Xenopus tropicalis: one gene and its partners. The protein of the gene in region 3 purifies or fractionates together with the protein of the main gene of each other region. This does not show direct contact. Links are inferred from orthologs where the notes say so. Each region holds a gene or a part of one and is shown on either strand. Other genes may lie near its edges.

Evidence for each region. Proteins that work in one complex are often made in the same cells at the same time.
Region 1: the proteins of sqstm1 (region 3) and trim25 purify together in Homo sapiens (affinity purification with mass spectrometry; 3 studies listed by BioGRID, with this or other methods). This does not show direct contact. The link is inferred for Xenopus tropicalis from reciprocal best matches to the Homo sapiens genes SQSTM1 and TRIM25.
Region 2: the proteins of sqstm1 (region 3) and nipsnap1 purify together in Homo sapiens (affinity purification with mass spectrometry; 4 studies listed by BioGRID and IntAct, with this or other methods). This does not show direct contact. The link is inferred for Xenopus tropicalis from reciprocal best matches to the Homo sapiens genes SQSTM1 and NIPSNAP1.
Region 4: the proteins of sqstm1 (region 3) and vangl2 purify together in Homo sapiens (affinity purification with western blotting; 3 studies listed by BioGRID, with this or other methods). This does not show direct contact. The link is inferred for Xenopus tropicalis from reciprocal best matches to the Homo sapiens genes SQSTM1 and VANGL2.
Region 5: the proteins of sqstm1 (region 3) and nipsnap2 purify together in Homo sapiens (affinity purification with mass spectrometry; 4 studies listed by BioGRID and IntAct, with this or other methods). This does not show direct contact. The link is inferred for Xenopus tropicalis from reciprocal best matches to the Homo sapiens genes SQSTM1 and NIPSNAP2.
Region 6: the proteins of sqstm1 (region 3) and llgl1 purify together in Homo sapiens (affinity purification with mass spectrometry; 3 studies listed by BioGRID and IntAct, with this or other methods). This does not show direct contact. The link is inferred for Xenopus tropicalis from reciprocal best matches to the Homo sapiens genes SQSTM1 and LLGL1.

The regions. Positions count from the first base shown.
Region 1 is NC_030686.2:52,267,935-52,272,035, forward strand, and holds the start of trim25 (tripartite motif containing 25), read left to right. Parts: upstream 1-1,301; 5' UTR 1,302-1,557; exon of another isoform or gene 1,558-1,617; intron 1,618-4,101.
Region 2 is NC_030677.2:144,799,783-144,804,034, forward strand, and holds the start of nipsnap1 (protein NipSnap homolog 1), read left to right. Parts: upstream 1-1,452; 5' UTR 1,453-1,472; coding exon 1,473-1,555; intron 1,556-2,814; coding exon 2,815-2,942; intron 2,943-4,252.
Region 3 is NC_030679.2:22,196,071-22,199,355, reverse strand, and holds the end of sqstm1 (sequestosome-1), read left to right. Parts: intron 1-2,216; coding exon 2,217-2,374; 3' UTR 2,375-2,785; downstream 2,786-3,285. UniProt on the Homo sapiens protein: Molecular adapter required for selective macroautophagy (aggrephagy) by acting as a bridge between polyubiquitinated proteins and autophagosomes.
Region 4 is NC_030684.2:137,173,455-137,177,725, reverse strand, and holds the start of vangl2 (vang-like protein 2), read left to right. Parts: upstream 1-1,471; 5' UTR 1,472-1,713; intron 1,714-4,271. UniProt on the Homo sapiens protein: Involved in the control of early morphogenesis and patterning of both axial midline structures and the development of neural plate. Plays a role in the regulation of planar cell polarity, particularly in the orientation of stereociliary bundles in the cochlea.
Region 5 is NC_030678.2:98,152,533-98,156,752, reverse strand, and holds the start of nipsnap2 (protein NipSnap homolog 2), read left to right. Parts: upstream 1-1,420; 5' UTR 1,421-1,457; coding exon 1,458-1,537; intron 1,538-4,220. UniProt on the Homo sapiens protein: Protein involved in mitophagy by facilitating recruitment of the autophagy machinery required for clearance of damaged mitochondria.
Region 6 is NC_030685.2:16,025,426-16,029,378, reverse strand, and holds the start of llgl1 (lethal(2) giant larvae protein homolog 1), read left to right. Parts: upstream 1-1,153; 5' UTR 1,154-1,298; coding exon 1,299-1,379; intron 1,380-3,953. UniProt on the Homo sapiens protein: Cortical cytoskeleton protein found in a complex involved in maintaining cell polarity and epithelial integrity. Involved in the regulation of mitotic spindle orientation, proliferation, differentiation and tissue organization of neuroepithelial cells.

The DNA of each region.
Region 1 (4,101 bases), on a different chromosome or scaffold from region 3:
GCTGTGTAGCAGACAGTACGTGGGGGTTACTGCCCCAGGGCTGTGTAGCAGACAGTATGTGGGGTTACTGCCCCAGGGCTGTGTAGCAGACAGTATGTGGGGTTACTGCCCCAGGGCTGTGTAGCAGACAGTATGTGGGGTTACTGCCCCAGGGCTGTGTAGCAGACAGTATGTGGGGGTTACTGCCCCAGGGCTGTGTAGCAGACAGTATGTGGGGGTTACTGCCCCAGGGCTGTGTAGCAGACAGTATGTGGGGGTTACTGCCCCAGGGCTGCGTAGCAGACAGTATGTGGGGGTTATTGCCCCAGGGCTGTGTAGCAGACAGTATGTGGGGTTACTGCCCCAGGGCTGTGTAGCAGACAGTATGTGGGGGTTACTGCCCCAGGGCTGCGTAGCAGACAGTATGTGGGGGTTACTGCCCCAGGGCTGCGTAGCAGACAGTATGTGGGGTTACTGCCCCAGGGCTGCGTAGCAGACAGTATGTGGGGGTTATTGCCCCAGGGCTGCGTAGCAGACAGTATGTGGGGTTACTGCCCCAGGGCTGTGTAGCAGACAGTATGTGGGGGTTACTGCCCCAGGGCTGCGTAGCAGACAGTATGTGGGGGTTACTGCCCCAGGGCTGCGTAGCAGACAGTATGTGGGGTTACTGCCCCAGGGCTGCGTAGCAGACAGTATGTGGGGTTACTGCCCCAGGGCTGCGTAGCAGACAGTATGTGGGGTTACTGCCCCAGGGCTGCGTAGCAGACAGTACGTGGGGGTTACTGCCCCAGGGCTGTGTAGCAGACAGTATGTGGGGGTTACTGCCCCAGGGCTGTGTAGCAGACAGTATGTGGGGGTTATTGCCCCAGGGCTGTGTAGCAGACAGTATGTGGGGTTACTGCCCCAGGGCTGTGTAGCAGACAGTATGTGGGGGTTACTGCCCCAGGGCTGTGTAGCAGACAGTATGTGGGGGTTATTGCCCCAGGGCTGCGTAGCAGACAGTACGTGGGGGTTACTGCCCCAGGGCTGCGTAGCAGACAGTATGTGGGGGTTACTGCCCCAGGGCTGTGTAGCAGACGGTATGTGGGGGTTACTGCCCCAGGGCTGCGTAGCAGACAGTACGTGGGGGTTACTGCCCCAGGGCTGTGTAGCAGACAGTATGTGGGGTTACTGCCCCAGGGCTGTGTAGCAGACAGTATGTGGGGTTACTGCCCCAGGGCTGTGTAGCAGACAGTACGTGGGGGTTACTGCCCCAGGGCTGTGTAGGATAGGAGGAGGACATAGGATAACAAAACAAGCACAGGAATCCATTCTAATTAATCCCTTTTTCCTATTCAGATAACTGCCCGCCCCCTGTCCCCCCCTTACAGTATTTACTGCAGGGGCAGGACTACAAGTCCCAGAATGACTCTGTGTTTGCAGTAGGAGGGACAACGTTTGTTGTTGCTCTACACTACCCAGCATGCTTCACTCCAAGCAAACCAGGAAACGAAACCTGCTGTGACTGGGAGGGGTTTCCCCAATATCACATGTCCACCATCAACCAATTAGCTTTCAGTTTCTTCTGTCGCAACTACTGTAAGTCCTACGAGTTCTTCTCATTCTGTGAGTGAGAGGTTGTTCCGTCAGTAAATCCCGGTGAGTATGAGTGTGTGTCCCCCAGTCACTCAGTGAGTATGAGTGTGTGTCCCCCAGTCACTCAGTGAGTATGAGTGTGTGTCCCCCAGTCACTCAGTGAGTATGAGTGTGTGTCCCCCAGTCACTCAGTGAGTATGAGTGTGTGTCCCCCAGTCACTCAGTGAGTATGGGTGTGTGTCCCCCAGTCACTCAGTGAGTATGGGTGTGTGTCCCCCAGTCACTCAGTGAGTATGAGTGTGTGTCCCCCAGTCACTCAGTGAGTATGAGTGTGTGTCCCTCAGTCACTCAGTGAGTATGAGTGTGTGTCCCCCAGTCACTCAGTGAGTATGAGTGTGTGTCCCCCAGTCACTCAGTGAGTATGAGTGTGTGTCCCCCAGTCACTCAGTGAGTATGAGTGTGTGTCCTCCAGTCACTCAGTGAGTATGAGTGTGTGTCCCCCAGTCACTCAGTGAGTATGAGTGTGTGTCCCCCAGTCACTCAGTGAGTATGAGTGTGTGTCCTCCAGTCACTCAGTGAGTATGAGTGTGTGTCCCCCAGTCACTCAGTGAGTATGAGTGTGTGTCCTCCAGTCACTCAGTGAGTATGAGTGTGTGTCCTCCAGTCACTCAGTGAGTATGAGTGTGTGTCCCCCAGTCACTCAGTGAGTATGAGTGTGTGTCCCCCAGTCACTCAGTGAGTATGAGTGTGTGTCCCCCAGTCACTCAGTGAGTATGGGTGTGTGTCCCCCAGTCACTCAGTGAGTATGAGTGTGTGTCCCCCAGTCACTCAGTGAGTATGAGTGTGTGTCCCCCAGTCACTCAGTGAGTATGGGTGTGTGTCCCCCAGTCACTCAGTGAGTATGAGTGTGTGTCCCCCAGTCACTCAGTGAGTATGAGTGTGTGTCCCCCAGTCACTCAGTGAGTATGAGTGTGTGTCCCCCAGTCACTCAGTGAGTATGAGTGTGTGTCCCCCAGTCACTCAGTGAGTATGAGTGTGTGTCCCCCAGTCACTCAGTGAGTATGAGTGTGTGTCCCCCAGTCACTCAGTGAGTATGAGTGTGTGTCCCCAGTCACTCAGTGAGTATGAGTGTGTGTCCCCCAGTCACTCAGTGAGTATGAGTGTGTGTCCCCCAGTCACTCAGTGAGTATGAGTGTGTGTCCCCCAGTCACTCAGTGAGTATGAGTGTGTGTCCCCAGTCACTCAGTGAGTATGAGTGTGTGTCCCCCAGTCACTCAGTGAGTATGAGTGTGTGTCCCCCAGTCACTCAGTGAGTATGAGTGTGTGTCCCCCAGTCACTCAGTGAGTATGAGTGTGTGTCCCCCAGTCACTCAGTGAGTATGAGTGTGTGTCCCCCAGTCACTCAGTGAGTATGAGTGTGTGTCCCCCCAGTCACTCAGTGAGTATGAGTGTGTGTCCCCCAGTCACTCAGTGAGTATGGGTGTGTGTCCCCCAGTCACTCAGTGAGTATGGGTGTGTGTCCCCCAGTCACTCAGTGAGTATGAGTGTGTGTCCCCCTGTCACTCAGTGAGTATGAGTGTGTGTCCCCCAGTCACTCAGTGAGTATGAGTGTGTGTCCCGCAGTCACTCAGTGAGTATGAGTGTGTGTCCCCCAGTCACTCAGTGAGTATGGGCTCTGTCAGCCATTAGTGTGTGTCCCCCAGTCACTCAGTGAGTATGGGCTCTGTCAGCCATTAGTGTGTGTCCCCCAGTCACTCAGTGAGTATGGGCTCTGTCAGCCATTAGTGTGTGTCCCCCAGTCACTCAGTGAGTATGGGCTCTGTCAGCCATTAGTGTGTGTCCCCCAGTCACTCAGTGAGTATGGGCTCTGTCAGCCATTATTGTGTTTCCCCCAGTCACTCAGTGAGTATGGGCTCTGTCAGCCATTAGTGTGTGTCCCCCAGTCACTCAGTGAGTATGGGCTCTGTCAGCCATTAGTGTGTGTCCCCCAGTTACTCAGTGAGTATGGGCTCTGTCAGCCATTAGTGTGTGTCCCCCAGTCACTCAGTGAGTATGGGCTCTGTCAGCCATTAGTGTGTGTCCCCCCCCAGTCACTCAGTGAGTATGGGCTCTGTCAGCCATTAGTGTGTGTGTCCCCCAGTCACTCAGTGAGTATGGGCTCTGTCAGCCATTAGTGTGTGTGTCCCAGTCACTCAGTGAGTATGGGCTCTGTCAGCCATTAGTGTGTGTCCCCCAGTCACTCAGTGAGTATGGGCTCTGTCAGCCATTAGTGTGTGTCCCCCAGTCACTCAGTGAGTATGGGCTCTGTCAGCCATTAGTGTGTGTCCCCCAGTCACTCAGTGAGTATGGGCTCTGTCAGCCATTAGTGTGTGTCCCCCAGTCACTCAGTGAGTATGGGCTCTGTCAGCCATTAGTGTGTGTCCCCCAGTCACTCAGTGAGTATGGGCTCTGTCAGCCATTAGTGTGTGTCCCCCAGTCACTCAGTGAGTATGGGCTCTGTCAGCCATTAGTGTGTGTCCCCCAGTCACTCAGTGAGTATGGGCTCTG
Region 2 (4,252 bases), on a different chromosome or scaffold from region 3:
GCAGCCAGCCTTTTTTTTACCCGCAAGCCACACCCAAATGTAAATAAAGTTGTGGAGCAATACAAGCATGAAAAATGTTCACAAGGGTACCAAATAAGCGCTGTAATTGGCTATTTGGTAGCCCCTTTGTGGACTGGCAGCCTACAGGAGGTTCTGGTTGGCAGTACAACTGATTTTTATGAAACCAAAACTTGCCTCCAAGCCTGGAATTTAAAAATAAGCACCTGCTTTGAGGCCACTGAGAGCAACATCCAAGGGGGTTGGGGAGCAGTGTGTTGCTCACGAATCACTGGTTGGGGATCACTGCTGTATAATATATACATTGTTTATCTCTGTATAGAAATTTCTTAGGGTTCTAGTACCAACTGCTTGTTGGTAATTGGTTCTTGCACTCCTGAATACATCATGTCCTTATGCAGCACCTTCTGCTTGCTTAAATTGTGTGCTTATATCTTAATCTAAACATGAATATGGGTGCTTCTTTCTCTGCGGGGCCCAGACCAACATGCCATTGTCAACTTGTGACTGGTTTGGATATCAGCACTTGTCAGCACAATGCATTTACCAAACCTAGAGAAAATTATGCTTCCCATCTAATGGGAATGATGCTTTACATTTAATAGCTTTGGGGACCACATTAAATCTCTTTTGTTCCTAGACCCAACTTTTTTATTTTACTATCATATTACATCACTTGACTCCTTATTTAGGTCACTGGAGCCTGTTAATGTTAAATTCATAACAAAAATTGTTTATAAGCCCTCCTGTTGTTGTAGGAATACTTTTCCATGTAATACCAATGCAACAGTCAGGGTATGCTAAAAGTTGTAGTTCAGCAACATGTGGACTGTTGGTTGAGTGCCTGAAATACCAGTTTATGCCTATTTAGGAGTACAGTATAGGTACCAGACTTGAACCGATGGCTGTCTGAAGCAGCTAGGGTGTCAGGAGGGTAATTTAATGGTGGTTAGAAGTGTCATACTGGTGTGGATATAGGAAGGCACTGATACTGTAAGTAGGGTTGCCTCCTTTTCTGAAAAGTAATGCCGGCCTCCCTATATTTTTGTGTTTTTCCCGGTAATCACGTTGGCATTAATTATCATTTTTACTGACCAAGTGGCAACCCTAACTGTAACGCAAACCAGTCATTACTGACCCTCATATTTGGGGAACTCCTGATGATATATACAAATCCAAAAATCAGGGCACTTGTCAGATAGACATCAACACTGGGGTACTAAATTCAGTTCTGACAGGTCCACTGTTTGCAAGGAGTTTGTATGTTCTACCTTTGTCTGTCCGAGTTATACAGGTGCTCCAGTTTCCACCAAAAACATGCAGCTTAATTGGCTTGTGAGAAACTGACTAGCATGCAGGCCTCTAAGCTCCTATTAGGCTCCGCCTGTCCTCTCTCCCTCCCCTTGCTGGCTCAGTGCAGCAGCCCTAGGTTTCCTGTATTCACAGTCTGTAACATGCTGACTAGGGTAGCCCGGATTTCTCCTTTGCTCCAAAGCTCTGGGCCCAGCTCGGGGTACCTGCCGCTGCAGTTATGTAGGTAAGCAGCTGTGTGGCTCGTCTTTCTCTTTCTAGTGGCTTTACAGTTAAATATAAAATGGTTGCTTGCCCATGCCAGTTACCTGTCAAGAAGAAAGCAGTCCATTAGGCTTGCAGTGAAGCAGCAGCACAGTCACCTGTACATTCACCTGTCAGGGAGACTGCAACAGCTCTTGGTTAGGTTTATATTGTAGTTAGTCAGTGCATGTTCCTCTCCAATGCTGTGGGTATGCATTTACAATCACTGAATGCACTTACTATGTACTGTTGCACTTCCCTGGTGTAATGTAGGACTAGGTGCATGAGCTTTGATTTATTTGCTGTTTTTGGCAGATTGCAAGATGTCAACAGCATACTGCTTTTAACCCTTGCTGTTTTCGGCAGATCTTTTAATTACATTATCACTAGAATTAGAAAAGTACCTGCTTGCTGTGAATATTGGTACACAATGGGCAAGTCTGGTGCCTGATGAGCAATTCTGAAAGTTATGGGAACTGCAGAACTACCAGATTTATGTGGTGTTTTACAAGCCTGTTTAAAGTTCTGTGAATACTTGGTTGTTTTTTTGCAGAGTATTGTAGTGCTTGTTACCTGCCCCCTCTGTTAATAGGTTCCAAGTGCCTGTTGTCAGAGAAGATGTATAAAGGTCATGTTTGTTTGAGCTCTGTTAGTGGAAACCTCTGCACGTGAGCATCAGTGGATGATAAAGCATTTTGGGTTAAATCTGTGTAAATCCTCATACTTTGTTTCCACATGCTATTGCTTATAACTGACAAAATTTGTAATACCTTTTAGAAAGAGGATTAAAGTAATTGGTGTGTTTACGTGAATAAAGGTATGAACACTAGCAGCTGAGTTTGTGAAAAAATTATTTAAACTTAAATTTAATTTTAAAGGGGTTCTGGATTCTTCCAGTGAGTACCATGAAGCAATCATCTTCCTGCTTTGTAGTTCTTGCTACCCCATGGCTGACACATGTGCAGTAGAGTCAAAGAGCCACCGTTTGTAAAAATTTGGCATGAAGAGGATTGCTCCATGGTGCTCGCCAAAATAACCCCATGCTGGTGCAGTTTCTTCCAACAGGAGCACCAACCTGGAGTATCGTATAAGTGAATACATTCACTGGGTGGTGCCCAACTTTTTTGGATTCCCCTTACAATTGTGACTTTCCTTTTCCTTTAAGAAAAAAAAATACTTTTGGTATACATGCAGTATACTGATTATGATTGCACATTTCTTAATTCCTCTCTTTGAATTTAGATATGGCTCGGATTCCAGAGATAGTAGTTGGCTTCGCTCTCTCTTCGTGCGCAAGGTAGATCCTCGCAAAGATGCACATTCCACTTTATTGTCCAAGAAGGAGACGAGTGGTCTCTACAAGATGCAGTGTGGGTACCTAGTAAAAACTGTGGTTGTGCTGAGGGAAAATAGTAGCCATTCCTTCTGAATCTATATGTACAGATGAGTACAATAAGATGGTGCGAAAAGCACACAAAGTTGCTAATCAGCATTTTAAAGGTGGTTTAACTTTAAGTTAAGTATGTTATAGAATTCCTAGCAAATTTGCAATTGTTCACAATTATTTTGATTTTTAATTTTTAACCTTCCTTTATTTTGATTTTTAATTATCTACCTTCCTGTACTATGTCTTATTAGCTTTCAAATGGGGGTCACTGACCCCAACAGCCAGAAACACTATTGTTCTGTGAAGCTACAGTTTTATTGTTATTGTTACTTTTTTAATTCTTATATTCTTATTGAGTCCCTCACCTTTTCATGTTCCAGAATCTCATTTATATAACTTCCTGATTGCTAGGGTAAATAAGACCCTAGGCGAACTTACCCTTTAGGGCTCTGGCACACGGGGAGATTAGTCGCCCGCGGCAAAACTCCCTGTTCGCGGGCGACTAATCTCCCCGAGTTGCCTTCCCCTGCCATCCCATCGGCGACAATGTAAGTCGCCGGTGGGATGGCAGACGTGGCGGGGTGATTTCGGGAAATCGCCGAAAAAGACCCGTGAGTCTTTTTCGCCCGATTTGCGCGAAGTCGCGCCGCCGCGTGTGCCATCCCACCGGCGACTTACATGTTTGCCAGTGGGATGGCAGGGGAGGGCAACTCGGGGAGATTAGTCGCCCGCGAACAGGGAGTTTTGCCGCGGGCGACTACTCTCCCCTTGTGCCAGAGCCCTTAATCAATTTTTGTCACCATAACTAAAAACAAAAATGTGATCTTTTAAACCTAAAATACCTAAAATACTACCTCCAGTATGAAAACGTATTTTATAATGTTCAGAATACTAAAGGGAAACAGTTCCAAATATATATATACTTTGTATCCCCAATTGCCTCCTTTATGCCATGTGGCAGTTGCACAAGACCTTTTTTTTTAAGAGTCACATATGGAAGAAGGAGTGAGCCCTTTAAAAAGAAATGTGCATCCTCAATGGACAGTAATGTAACTTGGTGATGCCGGGCCCCCCTGCAAAAAAAAAAAAAGGCATTAACTGTGGTACAGCAGACCCTATAGTCCATGCCCCCCACCCATGACTGGGATCAATATCCTTTTAGGAAGAAAATGTAGTGCCACCTTACTTGCCTTTCGCAGGCATGCCTTAGACCTATTTTATTTCACTACAGTTGCCCTTTAAAGGTTAAGTTTATGCAATACAAAAAAAAAAAAAATCTTAGCCTGAGAGAAT
Region 3 (3,285 bases):
TTGTTTTATACTGGATTTATTTTCAAACATGTAGGCCACAAACCAAACTTTAAAGGGATATGTAGTCAAACAATTAGCCCTTTTAATGTGGCTGTTATTTTGTACCACATTTGAGGTTCAGATTTTATATACAGTGGAGGAAATAATTATTTGACCCCTCACTGATTTTGTAAGTTTGTCCAATGACAAAGAAATGAAAAGTCTCAGAACAGTATCATTTCAATGGTAGGTTTATTTTAACAGTGGCAGATAGCACATCAAAAGGAAAATCGAAAAAATAACTTTAAATAAAAGATAGCAACTGATTTGCATTTCATTGAGTGAAATAAGTTTTTGAACCCCTACCAACCATTAAGAGTTCTGGCTCCCACAGAGTGGTTAGACACTTCTACTCAATTAGTCAACCTCATTAAGGACACCTGTCTTAACTAGACACCTGTCCACAGAATCAATCAATCAAGCAGACTCCAAACTCTCCAACATGGGAAAGACCAAAGAGCTGTCCAAGGATGTCAGAGACAAAATTGTAGACCTGCACAAGGCTGGAATGGGCTACAAAACAATTTGCAAGAAGCTGGGATAGAAGGTGACAACTGTTGGTGCGATTGTTCGAAAATGGAAGGAGCACAAAATGACCATCAATCGACCTCGCTCTGGGGCTCCACGCAAGATCTCACCTCGTGGGGTGTCAATGATTCTGAGAAAGGTGAAAAAGCATCCTAGAACTACACGGGAGGAGTTAATGACCTCAAATTAGCAGGGACCACAGTCACCAAGAAAACCATTGGAAACACATTACACCGCAATGGATTAAAATCCTGCAGGGCTCGCAAGGTCCCCCTGCTCAAGAAGGCACATGTGCAGGCCCGTCTGAAGTTTGCCAATGAACACCTGAATGATTCTGTGAGTGACTGGGAGAAGGTGCTGTGGTCTGATGAGACCAAAATAGAGCTCTTTGGCATTAACTCAACTCGCTGTGTTTGGAGGAAGAAAAATGCTGCCTATGACCCCCAAAACACCGTCCCCACCGTCAAGCATGGGGGTGGAAACATTTTGCTTTGGGGGTGTTTTTCTGCTAAGGGCACAGGACAACTTATTCGCATTAACGGGAAAATGGACGGAGCCATGTATCGTGAAATCCTGAACGACAACCTCCTTCCCTCTGCCAGGAAACTGAAAATGGGTCGTGGATGGGTGTTCCAGCACGACAATGACCCAAAACATACAGCAAAGGCAACAAAGGAGTGGCTCAAGAAGAAGCACATTAAGGTCATGGAGTGGCCTAGTCAGTCTCCGGACCTTAATCCAATAGAAAATTTATGGAGGGAGCTCAAGCTCAGAGTTGCACAGAGACAGCCTCGAAACCTTAGAGATTTAGAGATGATCTGCAAAGAGGAGTGGACCAACATTCCTCCTAAAATGTGCGCAAACTTGGTCATCAATTACAAGAAACGTTTGTGCTTGCAAACAAGGGTTTTTCCACTAAGTATTAAGTCTTTTTTTGTTAGAGGGTTCAAAAACTTATTTCACTCAATGAAATGCAAATCAGTTGCTATCTTTTATTTAAAGTTATTTTTTCGATTTTCCTTTTGATGTGCTATCTGCCACTGTTAAAATAAACCTACCATTGAAATGATACTGTTCTGAGACTTTTCATTTCTTTGTCATTGTACAAACTTACAAAATCAGTGAGGGGTCAAATAATTATTTCCTCCACTGTATTTATGTATTTTAGAAGTTCAATGATTTTCTAATTTCTCTGCCACAGACAACACTCCACTGCTGTAGCCAGCTTTTCCACAGACCTCTGTAACCCAGTAAAAAGTACCTTGGATGTTTGGATAAAGCCAACATCTTTAGATCTTTCCAGTGCAGGCCCCTTTGGATTTAGTTGGGTATGCTGTATAACCTTAAGGGGAAGGATCACATTCATCTGTAGTATGCATTAGAAAGTGCAAACCATTAATCCTGGGTCATTTTTTGCTGCACAGTTTTCATATTATTTTATCTTTTGTTATGCTGGTCTCTAGTTTCCACTGTAAACAGTTATCTGGTAGTTAGGGCCCCACTAGTCCTAGCATCCTGGCTTAGGATCTAATGGCAGACTGGAACACAGAGGCTCTATTTGGCTTGGTATCTTTGTTTGCAGGTGCTACTAAAGCATTGTAATATGTGGTTATTATGTGACTCAGATTGCTTTGTACTTTCTTATACAGAAGCAGATCCTCGCCTCATAGAATCTCTCTCTCAGATGCTTTCCATGGGCTTCACAGATGAGGGAGGATGGCTCACTCGGCTCCTGGAGGCAAAACAGTTCGATATTGGGTCTGCTCTGGATGCCATGCAGTCTATACGCCACATTCCTCCCTCCTAAGCAAGACTTTGAGTTCAGCCATTCTGTTGTTCCCTTTCTGTCCTTATTTGTATTATCTGTTTGTTAGTGTAACCTGATTTCACACACTGTTGGTACAAGAGAGTCAAGTCCTTTTTTCTTATTGAAGTTAAATAAAATTTTCTTTGTCTGCTCTAAAGCATTCATTTATTCAATTCATAACTTCTATGAGTTTCTGCTTCTACAGTGTCAGTTAAACAAAGGATACTGTAACCAGCAAATATTTCTGTGCACTGAGTTCAGTCACACTTTATGGTTATGGTTACAGGGGATGGTAAAAGAAGTTTTTATCCTGGTAATAAGCATAAAATCAAGGGAAATGTCTTTTCAGACTGTGCTATTCCTGTACTCAAAGTAACAAAAATAAAACTTATCCAGTGCACTTAAAAGTCAGTTCTGTGTTTGACTGGACCTCTGTTCTTATTTCCTTAAGTTGGGGCCGGTAGCATTACACACATTTTTTTTTTCTAGCCCTTGTATGCTAAAATTGTTATGTCCATCCTAATATTTTATACATTGTTAAATCAAAAAGTTTAAATCATCTTTACTGGGTCAGCAAGATGGCTGTCATAGCAAAAATAAGCCCCACTGAAGAATTTTCTTGCATCTATAGTTCAGCTTGGCACTGCTGCTTTGTAAGGCTCAGAAATGCAATGAAGGGACTTTATGAAATGCTCATAAACCCTTTAATTGTATATATAAGCATTTTTTCAGTCCTGCCTTAACGCAATCTACTCATAATCTTGCTGTTATCTACTGTAAGAGATTACTAAACCTGGCGATATTATTCAAACATCAGAAGGGCAGACACTGTTTTCTTTGGTTGTAGAAGAAATAAGACAACCATTGCTCCTCTGAATACTTTAAATGTAATTTTCTATTTTTAGGGGTTT
Region 4 (4,271 bases), on a different chromosome or scaffold from region 3:
AAAGGGTATTTGTGGCTCTTGTATATTATATAGTGAATAAAGTACCCCTTATTGTAAAATATAGGGATATTATAAGTCACAGAGGGGTTCCATCAGGGTCAGACTGAGGGGTTGCAGGGCCCAATTAAACCCCCCCAAGAGACCCCCATGTGGCCCCCGCCGCCCACCCAACCCCCGAGCGCATATACTTAGGCACATCGAGAGAGGACAACCTGCGTGCCCCGGATCGGTCTGGGTTTTTTCCCCAGTCCCATGACCATATAAAGGTACATATATACATATATAATATACAGTAATTTCCCTATGGGACCAAACCATAAATGATATCCTTATAAATGGTGAGTAGTAATGTCATCAGTTATAATCTGAGCTTGGTGATGTCATTTCTGTCACATGACTCACTTAAACTTGTATATTATAATAAATAAAGTACCCCTGTTGTAAAATATGAGGATATTAGAAGTGACCTATGATTTCCATGACCTTTATGGTCATGGGACTTCTCTATGACTTATAATATCCCTATATGTTACAATAGGGGGTACTTTATTCACTATATAATATACAGGAGCCACAAATACCCTTTATATGGCCATGGAACCCCTCTGTGACTTATAATATCCCTATATGTTACAATAGGGGGCACTTTATTCACTATATAATATACAGGAGCCACAAATACCCTTTATATGGCCATGGAACCCCTCTGTGCCTTATAATATCCCTATATGTTACAATAGGGGGTACTTTATTCACTATATAATATACAAGAGCCACAAATACCCTTTATATGGCCATGGAACTCCTCTGTGCCTTATAATATCCCTATATGTTACAATAGGGGGTACTTTATTCACTATATAATATACAAGAGCCACAAATAACCTTTATATGGCCATAGAACCCTTCTGTGCCTTATAATATCCCTATATGTTACAATAGGGGGTACTTTATTCACTATATATAATGATACAGACACACCAGGGAGCCATGTGAGCAGTGACATCACTAAGCTTCCATTCTAAGGGATGACATCACTAAGCAGCATTGTTAAGGCTATGACATCACTAAGCAGTAGAATTGTTAGGCTCAGTCTATAGGCAGATAGCCTAACATTAACCCTTCTGTGACACCCACCCCAGTATATACCAGGCAGCTAGTTGGCCTCTGATAATGACTTGCTAAACAGCCCTTAGGGAGCGATTAGGCAGCAGCAGAAGGTGAGAGGGGAAAGAAATCCCAAATAAGATCAGTGCTAAAGCCCCAAGCTGCGCTGGGTTTGCCCCCCCCCCCCCCCACAGAAAGGGGATCCGGGGAAGTGAGACAATGGGCAGGGAGGGGGGAGGAGAGCGGTGGGTGGGGCTTGCCGGGAGGGCGGGGCTTGCCGGGCTGCAGCCGTAGAAGTGTATGGAGCTTGGGGGCGGAGGCACAGCGCTGCTCTCTCTCTCACAGCCTAAGGATTGTGCGTTGTGGATCTCCGGGGGATCCCGCCCGCTCCCCGTTCGGCCGCCTGTGACCCCTCTCCCCGCACCCCGAGTGTCGCCCTGTGGATTTAGCGCAATACCGGCGCAATACCGGCGCAGCGAGGCTCCTACAAAAGGACTGGCGCTCCCCCTTTCTCCCTCCGCCTCCTTTTCTCAAACAGCCTCCGTCCGTCTCCCTTCCCCCAGTGCCTGGGATCCCATGCCCGCCGGGAGCCTGCCTGCTGCCCTGGTAAGTACCTCTCCCCCGGGGTGGATTGTGCCGGGTACATTGTGCCCCCCATGGGTGGGTGAGAGTGGTACAGTCTCCTTGCTGTGCCCTCAAACTGCCTGCTGCTGCCTGCAACTGCCTGCTATCATTCTATCTATCATTCTATCCTACATTGGCTTCCCAGGTACATGCCTTTCCCTATGTTACTGTGGGTTTCACTGGCCTGCTTGGCATTTGGGCCCCTGTACCCATATTCCCTAGCCCTGCACCCAAGCCCTCTGGTTAGAGCTGGGTGCCACTGACTATTATGGGTCCGGTTACCCTGATGCCTGGCCTCCCATTGGCTCTGGGTAGCAGCTAGATGTGGGGTTCCATGGCCCTGCACCTCATCCCTCTTTTCAGCCTAAATCCCATTACCCTGAGCCTTTGCCCTCCCAGTAGCTCTGGGCCCTGTGGCCCTGCACCTCATCCCTTGCTTTAAGTCTGGATCCAATTACTCTGACCCTTAGACCTCCCATTTGCACTCCAGCCCTTCCTGTATATATACCCCTCATGGTCCAATTACCCTAAAACTTGGCCATCCTATTAAATCCTGCCCTCGCGGCCCTGCACCTCATCCCTTCTTTCAGCCTGGATCTAATTACCCTAAGCCTTTGCCCTCCCATTAGATTGGGGCCCTATGGCCCTGCACCTCATCCCTTCTTTCAGCCTGGATCCAATTATCCTGATCCCTAGACCTCCCATTTGTACCCCCCCCCATTAGATCTGGGAGCCACCCATCTTTCCCTTTAGATCTTGCCCTATTGCCCTACACAACAGCCCCCCCCCCCATTAGATCTGGGAGCCACGGCCTTGCCTCTTATCCCTATTACTGCTGATCCATAGCCTTCCCTTTAGATCTAGCCCTATTGCCCTACACAACAGCCCCCCCATTAGATCTGGGACCCATGGCCTTGCCTCTCATCCCTATCACTGCTGATCCCTGCTGAAGCCTTCCCTTTAGATCTAGCCCTATTGCTCTGCACCCCAGCCCCCCTATTAGATCCCCCTTGTCTCTCATCCCTATTACTCCTGATCCCTATCCTTCCCTTTAGATCTTGCCCTAATGCCCTGCACCCCAGCCCCCCCCCCCCCCCCCATTAGATCTGGGAGCCACGGCCTTGCCTCTCATCCCTATTACTGCTGACCATAGCCTTCCCTATGGACCTTGCCCTATTGCCCCGCACAGCAGCCCTCCTGTTGGATCTAGATCCGACCGCCCTGATTCTCCTGCATTCATCAGATCAAGCATGGGCTAGTTGAGGCCCTCCAGATCTTTTTAAGATGCAACTCCCAGCACCCCTCCTTCAGCAGCATCTGGAGTATCTCCCATTAAGTAAGCCTGATCCTTCATTTTGCCTTTGATTCCCATTCCCCTGGTTAGATCCATAGCTGCGGCATTCCCATGGGAAGCTGGGGGTGTCAGTGATCCTTTCAGCACTGCCTGAGCCTTACTAAGCCTGGCACAGAGCACTCGCAGCAGCCGCATTTCCCTTCCCAAGGCCTTGAATTCCACTGAAATCCCTGCAAGGCCCCACCAAGCCAGGGACTCTCCTGACGGATCAGCCTGGGTCATAAGTCAGTTGCCTGGGGCGGGTTGGTTTGGGGAGGAACTGCCAACGTTACACTTCACACCCAATCCACACCGGCCGTTCTGCACTCAATTGTTTCCCCCGTTGCTAGCCTCTCGGGAAGGGCCGTCTGGGCCGGCCTGTTTACTCTCCTACAGAACACAAATAGGTGTTTATTGTTCTACATTCATGCCATAAAGGAGCGATGATAACACCACGGTGTAGTAAAGCAGAGCCTCATTAATAATTAACCACAAAGCTGCGAACAACAAAAAAATACAGTTAAAGACTGTGAATGTATTTTTGGGTTTATTTCCCCTTTAGTGTGTGTATAATCTGTCAGTATATACGATTTACATGCGTGTGCATTAAATGTTTGTGTGTGACCTAAAATTAATGAATTTGAAATGCATTCCGAGCCCAGTAATTGAGTGTCAGGGTCAAGTATCTGTGAAGGGGGGGTGGGTAGATCTATCAGGGCACGGCGGGGGTGGCTGTTTCCCACTGAATGGGACAGAATTACAAAGGAGAAAGGGTGATAGTGTTGGTCCTTATAAAAGAAAAAAAAAAGTGACATTCCCACCCCATGAGAAGGAGCGTTAGTGAAAGGGCTGGGAAGATGATTTAGGTGCCTGGGGGGTTCATTCAGATGGTACCTGCCAAAAAAGTAGGGTTGGGGGGTAACAGGTGGGGAGAATAAAAACAAGTTATAGCATAGGGTATTGGGTTCATAGTCCAGAAATCTTGGCGCTGGTTTGGCTGTAGTTATAGCCAGGATGTGCAGCTCTGGTGATGGTTTTCGGTAGTGGTGGGTATTTGGCACATGAATTACCCCAGGCTGGTGCGGATGGTGGGTCAGGCGTAAATGTAGGCATTTAAAGCTTGCATTGGCCACTGCATGGGGCCTTTCTGACCAATATATGGCAAGATATCTTTGAAAATTAGGCTGGTGTTGTGACCCTCTCCCTG
Region 5 (4,220 bases), on a different chromosome or scaffold from region 3:
CACAGAAACACCTAATATAACTGTCTCTGTAATCTGCTCCTATGGAGAAATCCAGCTGCAAAACAGTTGCAGGGGAGGAGGGAATTAAACATTGATGTTACAAATTGTAACAATTTCTCCACAACTTAAAAACAGCATGCAAAAACTACACAACCCACAGTGCACAGTGATGTTCCTTTCCTTATTGACATCACATATGCAGGGAATTCCAGGATTTGGGAGATGTTGTCTGAAGGCAGGCTGACACAGTCGACTACTGTTACATTTGTTTGAGTCTCAAAGTAGTCAGCCAAATAAGCAGGAAAACAAGGGGGCTAGGATTAGTTAACTGTCCCAAACCATATTATTACATAAAAAATTATTAAAAGGATGCATATTTTTTAAATTGATATAAATTGCAAAGTTGCTTGAAATTATATATACTTTTCAAAAAGCTTAACTTGTGTTTGGGTGGAGTTCCCCTTTAAGTCATGCAAGTAAATATTCGAACTATGGGTCGATTACTCACTCTGCCTTGATGCAAAAATCTGTAGATGCCTATTACCATCAATACTTTAAACTTCCAGTATACTAATACAGCAATATATTCATATTCGCAGTAGGTTACACTGCATTTAGGCCCCATTAGGAAGGGCACCTAAATGCACAAGGCTAATTACAGATAGGGTACACAGCATATAACCATTTCTGTTCCTAAGTACCTGACAGAGCCCTTTTGGGCACAAAGCATTGCTCTTTCCACTTTGGAAGATGAAAAAAATTAACTGCAGTGTCCCAGAGGGTGAATAGAGATAGGGATATGGGTAAACCTAGGAAGCTTAGTTAGAAAAGTGCTGGTGATTTGGAGCACGTTTTGGAAAGGAAAGCCAGGGGGCAATACCAAAATGCTACATGTAGTAGGGGTGACTTCTTCATGTAAACATTGAAGCAGGGCTGTACAATAAGTGGGTATATACAATGAAAACTTACCGATAACTGAAATAAGAGGGCATGCCCGAAAGAGCTTGCAATCTGAAAGTATAATGACCCTTGAATCCTGCCCATTCCAATCCACGCACCCTATTTTTCCTCCCTAAAAAGGATAAAACGTTATCAAATACATGAATCCTTAAAAGCTCTGTCTACTACAAGCTCTAAAATAAAAGAAAACGTGGTTTGTTGCTATAAGTACTTTGGCGCTATTTAGCCCCTATGCAAAGGAAAATAAAACCTAGTTAAATATCCCACAATGGAACGAATAATCAATTCGTATTTAATGGAACTACAACATCTACATTTACGCAAACTTATTTGTCTCGGACTGACCACACACATACACTGTTGAAGCATTTTATTGTGGTTGTTTACAGCGCCGCCAAGGTCGCCATCTGGTGGCCTCCTAAGATATTGCGGCGCTGCTCCACCTCTCCCCGCCCCCGCAGCCTGACGTTCGCTGGCAAGCGCAGCAGCCCGGGAAGATGGCGAGCAGAACCATGTTGGTGGCTTTGAGTAGGACAAGCAGAGCCCAGGCCTGCGGGCTGAGACCTTTGGCAATCAGGTGAGAAATTGCAAGGAAATGTCAGTCTTCTTGCTGATAGGCCACTGCTGGATCTAACAGTGCGCAAATGATACCTCTATGTACGTCTCGGGGGTGGAGCAGGGCAGAGACAGCTAATAATTGCGCCCGTAAATGCGCTCGCTATGTCGGGGCGCTAATACTGTTTAGCAGAATTACACAGATCAGTGTGGGTTCTGTGCCAGTTTAATGCATGGTGGGTAGAAGTGCAGCTGGCACAGAGCAGCTGCGGGGAGATTCCGCTCAAGGTCACTATTTGTGCAGGCAATGTGTTCCCATAGGCTAAGCGGCACAACAGATGGAAAGTGGCTGAGCGGTGTGGCCCTATTTACTGTTACTAGAGCAGTGTTGCTCTATTACTGTCACTAATTATGTTAAAGGAATACTAACATGAGAAAGCATGTTTTTTTTCCCAAAACACATAAGTTAATAGAGCTTGTTTTCAGCAGAATCCTGCATTAAAATCCATTTTCAAAAACACAGATTTTTATTTTATAGTTAATTTTGAAATGTCAATACATAGTAACATAGTAAGTTGGGTTGAAAAAAGACATACGTCCATCAAGTTCAACCATAATGCCTATATATAACCTGCCTAACTACTAGTTGATCCAGAGGAAGGCAAAAAACCCCATCTGAAGCCTCTCTAATTTGCTGCAGAGGGCAATTGGACCAGTCCCATGATCAACTAGTACTAAGAGCTATCTCCCCAGGGCCGGATTTCTGTTTTGGGTGCCCTGAGGCCACCCCTGTCGGTCGCCCCCTCCCCACCCGTGCGCATGCACGAAAGTGCCCCCAGTGCGCATGTGCGAAAGCGCCCCCCCGTGCGCATGCGCGAAAGCGACACCACCAGTGCGCATGCACTCCTTTAAACTCCCATACGGAGCAGTGGGGAGAGGTCCCGACTGCTCCGTATGGGAGCCAAATTTAATTTTTTTTTTGCGGCGGGGCGGCATGCCGCCCCTAAACTTCTGCCGCCCTAGGCCCGGGCCTTTGTGGCCTTTCCACAAAGCTTTTTGGTAGAAACGCTATAGCTCCCAGCTTCTGAGGTGTCAGAATAATACATATATCTTGGATATTGAAACTTAATATTTCATATCTCACATACATACATATGTGTAGAATAATGTGTGTACGTTTTTTCTTGTAAGATCATCATTTATTATACAATGTGGTATTGTATATGCATACACTGGGCTTGTTTACAAAGTTATTAAAGGCCCATAAACAATTATAGCACCATACACCTGTGAAAATATACAGGGAGGAAAAATCTAATATTGCTTCAGTGTGTTCCCTGCATATATGTACTAGTGCCTAGTGCACCATTTGCTGGCCCTAGTTCCAGTTTATCATTAACTACTAAAGACCGGTACTCTACACTACTTCAGTGTATGCACAGCTTTTTTTACTGGATGGCAACTGCAAAATAGATACATGTGTGGTAATATGGGATGGAGAAAACTGAAATTGTTCAGGGATAAAATGTAACTTTATGTTTAAAGTTCCTTTCTCTTACTGTATTATACCATGATTTGTAATGTAACAACAGCCATTTTATGCAATGCAGTTTAGTGGGGGTCGAAACGCAATGGGTTTCCTTATGTGAATAAAACTTTTTTGGACTAAGCTTTCTTGAGTGCTATGCTGTTTTTATACTATTTTGAAAATTTTGGGTATCTTCTAGGGGACCCCGCAGTGAGCATCATAAAGAATATATTTACATATATATAGTAATAAAGGAGTGTATCACTAAATACTAATTCAATCCAAAGTGTTCAACTGAGCTAGGTTAAATCCTTATGTCATGTGATGTTACATTTATTGGTAATTGAACATGACAGTTTGATGTTTACAAAAGTTTGAAAACCCCCTCAAAATGACCCCCAGTATCATATAGATATATATTGTAACAACACAGAGACACCACGCATTCCTTGGTCTTTTAAAGTATACTTTATTAAATCATGCCAAAATCAACATTTTGGTTCTTAGAGCATTTCTCAATACAGAAAGCCAAAACATTGATACTGGTATGATTTGATAAAGTATATTTTAAAAAGTTGTGGAGTGCAACATAGTATGTGATTCTTTTCCAAGCACCCAGGCATTGAAAATTTATTTAATCACATAATGTCAATATACAACATTTCCGTACTCATTAGGGCCTATCAGTACACTCGTATATATATATCTATACTAAACTAACTTTATATGTGGGTTGGCCTTTTGTTGGTTGATCTTTTCTATATAGAAAAAGAACCCCACTGTTTGTCTATACTTTTTATATATACTTGTAAAGAGTAATCATGTCCTATGCATAGGTTAGAATAAGTACAAAATGTTGTTTTCTTAAAAAATTCTTTGTGTGCACCACAATAGGCAAAACTATGTTTTTGTCAATCAAAATCTATTGTGCACAAAACCATTCTGGCGCAAAATCATAGTATTGTAATCGGCATTGTATTCAATTCTTATACCATATTACCCCTCCAAAATCTTTTTAACCACCAATGTCAAACTAACGTCTAGAAACCTAAATCAACTCCAAAGTCAAATCTTCAGAATGGCAGAGGGCACTGAACGGAATTTCTTATTTAGCAGTAAGTATTCCCCAGTCAGCATGTTGCATATATCCATAGGAATGCTGGCTGCCCTTTATCAG
Region 6 (3,953 bases), on a different chromosome or scaffold from region 3:
GTGCCTTTATATGGGCACAGAACCCCTCAGTGACTGCTAATATCCTTATCATTTACAGTAGGGGGTACATTATCCCATATAATACATGAGTGATACTCAGAGTTCCCTGTATAACTCAGCCTGCAGCCTTGTGCCTTTATATGGGCACAGAACCCCTCAGTGACTGCTAATATCCTTATCATTTACAGTAGGGGGTACATTATCCCTTATAATACATGAGTGATACTCGGAGTTCCCTGTATAACTCAGCCTGCAGCCTTGTGCCTTTATATGGGCACAGAACCCCTCAGTGACTGCTAATATCCTTATCATTTACAGTAGGGGGTACATTATCCCTTATAATACATGAGTGATACTCAGAGTTCCCTGTATAACTCAGCCTGCAGCCTTGTGCCTTTATATGGGCACAGAACCCCTCAGTGACTGCTAATATCCTTATCATTTACAGTAGGGGGTACTTTATCCCTTATAATACATGGGTGATACTCAGAGTTCCCTGTATAACTCAGCCTGCAGCCTTGTGCCTTTATATGGGCACAGAACCCCTCAGTGACTGCTAATATCCTTATCATTTACAGTAGGGGGTACATTATCCCTTATAATACATGAGTGATACTCAGAGTTCCCTGTATAACTCAGCCTGCAGCCTTGTGCCTTTATATGGGCACAGAACCCCTCAGTGACTGCTAATATCCTTATCATTTACAGTAGGGGGTACAGATATGGTAACTATTGTGCTTGTACAAGGAAACCTTCCTGTATTTAACAAAGCAGCATTTCTTCCACACTTTATGGTAGAGGTTCAAGCCCTCTATAACAGAGTACAGAGACGCAATGGTCCTTTCTGAAACCCATTGTTAACATCATTCACCTCATAAATCTGAGCTTTCACAGAAACCGATTGGGATAAGAAAGCCTAGCTAAGCAAAGGAACCAATTGCACAGTGTAAATAAAAGATATTCGGATAAATTCACAAAATCCAGCCTTGATTATCCAAAAGTTAAAAAAGTTGAAAGAAAACTACAAACGTAAGAATTTTCCCACAAAGAACTACAACTCCCAGCCTCCCCTGCTCCATTCCGCGCAGGCGCGATGCCTGTACTGATGCTCTTAAAGAAAAGGGGCAAAGCGACGCTCCCTGGAGAGTTCTGTGATTGGTCGATAAGAACGCCAATCAAGCGGCGGGCTGGATCAAGTTCCCCAGCCGCCTGTGTGTGTGTGCGCTAACTGTGGCTGCAGAGAGGGGAGGCTGCTGCTGTACGGGCAGCGGCTGCGTCAGCTCCGGGCCGCCGGCAACATGATGAAGTTTAGGTTCAGGCGGCAGGGCCATGACCCGCAGAGGGAGAAGATAAAGCAGGAACTGTTTGCCTTCAACAAGGTGGGTGTTGTTGTGCGGGGAGCCCTAGTGCGGCTGTGTGCTTTGTGCTGCACTGGCTCTGTATGGGGCTCAATTATTAACCCCCCCCCGTGTAGTACTTCATGGTATCTCCCTTCCCCTAGGTCTATGGGACCCCGTTTTCCCCTCTGTGTATGGAACCCCCTCCCCATTTACTGGGGATATTACTCTCTGTATGTCCCCTATACACCCCCTAATTACTGTAGGTATTACTCTGTATGTACCCTATACACCCCCTAATTACTGTAGGTATTACTCTGTATGTCCCCTATACACCCCCTAATTACTGTAGGTATTACTCTGTATGTACCCCTATACACCCCCTAATTACTGTAGGTATTACTCTGTATGTACCCTATACACCCCCTAATTACTGTAGGTATTACTCTGTATGTCCCCTATACACCCCCTAATTACTGGTGTTATTACTCTGTATGTCCCCTATACACCCCCTAATTACTGTAGGTATTACTCTCTGTATGTCCCCTATACACCCCCTAATTACTGTAGGTATTACTCTGTATGTCCCCTATACACCCCCTAATTACTGTAGGTATTACTCTGTATGTACCCTATACACCCCCTAATTACTGTAGGTATTACTCTGTATGTCCCCTATACACCCCCTAATTACTGTAGGTATTACTCTGTATGTCCCCTATACACCCCCTAATTACTGTAGGTATTACTCTGTATGTAGCCTATACACCCCCTAATTACTGGTGTTATTACTCTGTATGTACCCCTATACACCCCCTAATTACTGGTGTTATTACTCTGTATGTACCCTATACACCCCCTAATTACTGGTGTTATTACTCTGTATGTCCCCTATACACCCCCTAATTACTGGTGTTATTACTCTGTATGTCCCCTATACACCCCCTAATTACTGTAGGTATTACTCTCTGTATGTCCCCTATACACCCCCTAATTACTGTAGGTATTACTCTCTGTATGTCCCCTATACACCCCCTAATTACTGGTGTTATTACTCTGTATGTCCCCTATACACCCCCTAATTACTGGAGTTATTACTCTATATGGCACCCCCATCTTCAGTTACTGGGAATATTACTCTGTATGTTGCCTATGCACCCCCTAATTACTGGGGATATTACTCTCTGTATGTTGCCTATGCACCCCCTAATTATTGGGGATATTATTCTGTGTATGGCACCCCCTTCCCAATTACTGGGGATATTACTCTGTCTGTAGCCTGTGCACCCCCTAATTACTGGAGTTATTACTTTACTTTGTGTATGGCACCCCCTCCCCAATTACTGTGGATATTACTCTCTGTATGAAGCCTATGTGCCCCTAATTACTGGGGATATTACTCTCTGTATTTAGCCTATGTGCCCCTAATTACTGGGGATATTACTCTGTATGAAGCCTATGTGCCCCTAATTACTGTGGATATTACTCTGTATGAAGCCTATGTGCCCCTAATTACTGGAGATATTACTCTCTGTATGAAGCCTATGCGCCCCTAATTACTGGGGATATTACTCTCTGTATGAAGCCTATGCGCCCCTAATTACTGGGGATATTACTCTCTGTATGAAGCCTATGTGCCCCTAATTACTGGGGATATTACTCTCTGTATGAAGCCTATGCGCCCCTAATTACTGGGGATATTACTCTCTGTATGAAGCCTATGCGCCCCTAATTACTGAAGTTATTACTCTGTATGGCACCCCCTTACCAATTCCTGGGGGTGTTACATGCTGGTTGCTGAGAACTAAAATCCAGTCATGTACAGGAATTGCTTGTGAGCAGCTCCCCAATACTGTGAGCGTTTGTACTTTCCCAATCCTTCTATGGTGACACCCCAATCAGATGTGCATTGGCTGCTGTTATGTTAGGGCCCCCCCTTTAGTGCCGGATTCTGATGTGTACGAGGCGCTCCTCTCTTCTGTATCAGCCCCATGTTGTGTGTGTGACTCCCCCCTCCTTTAGCAGTGGAATGGAAAAGAGACCCCTCCGCTATTGCTGAAGTATGTGCAGGAGATCCAGTTAGTACTGATAAGTAACTGTCTGTGATGATATTGTGTAACTAGTATTTACACAAGGCACCAACTAATTCCGACGGGGTGGATACATGAAACAGATAACCTTTGTATAACAACTAATAATGGGGGCAGTGAGGGCCATGCTCATTAGGGCTCTTTCCACCTTGTTACCCCCAGATACCTCATACCTAGTGTCGTACCCCCAACCACCTTAATATGTAAGCCTGATACAACCCAAACTTAGAGCAGTGATGGGTAACAATTGTAATTTCAGGGGCCTCTTATGTGGCCCCCAAAAGGGCTTGAACATAATTGGAGTTGAAAGCTGTATCTGCACTGCTGGTCTCCACTGTTGAAACAATGTAGCAAGCACCAGCTGATTTACAGACAAGTTTATTTATGGGTTAATACAAACTTTTTTGTTGTTGTTGTGAAATACGTGCAGGGTTGATTGGGGGGAGGAGTCTCATGGAGCTGCAAATGCTTCCGCAGCCCCATAGGGGTTAATGCTAACTTCATTCACTGTTGTGTTTTGTACTCA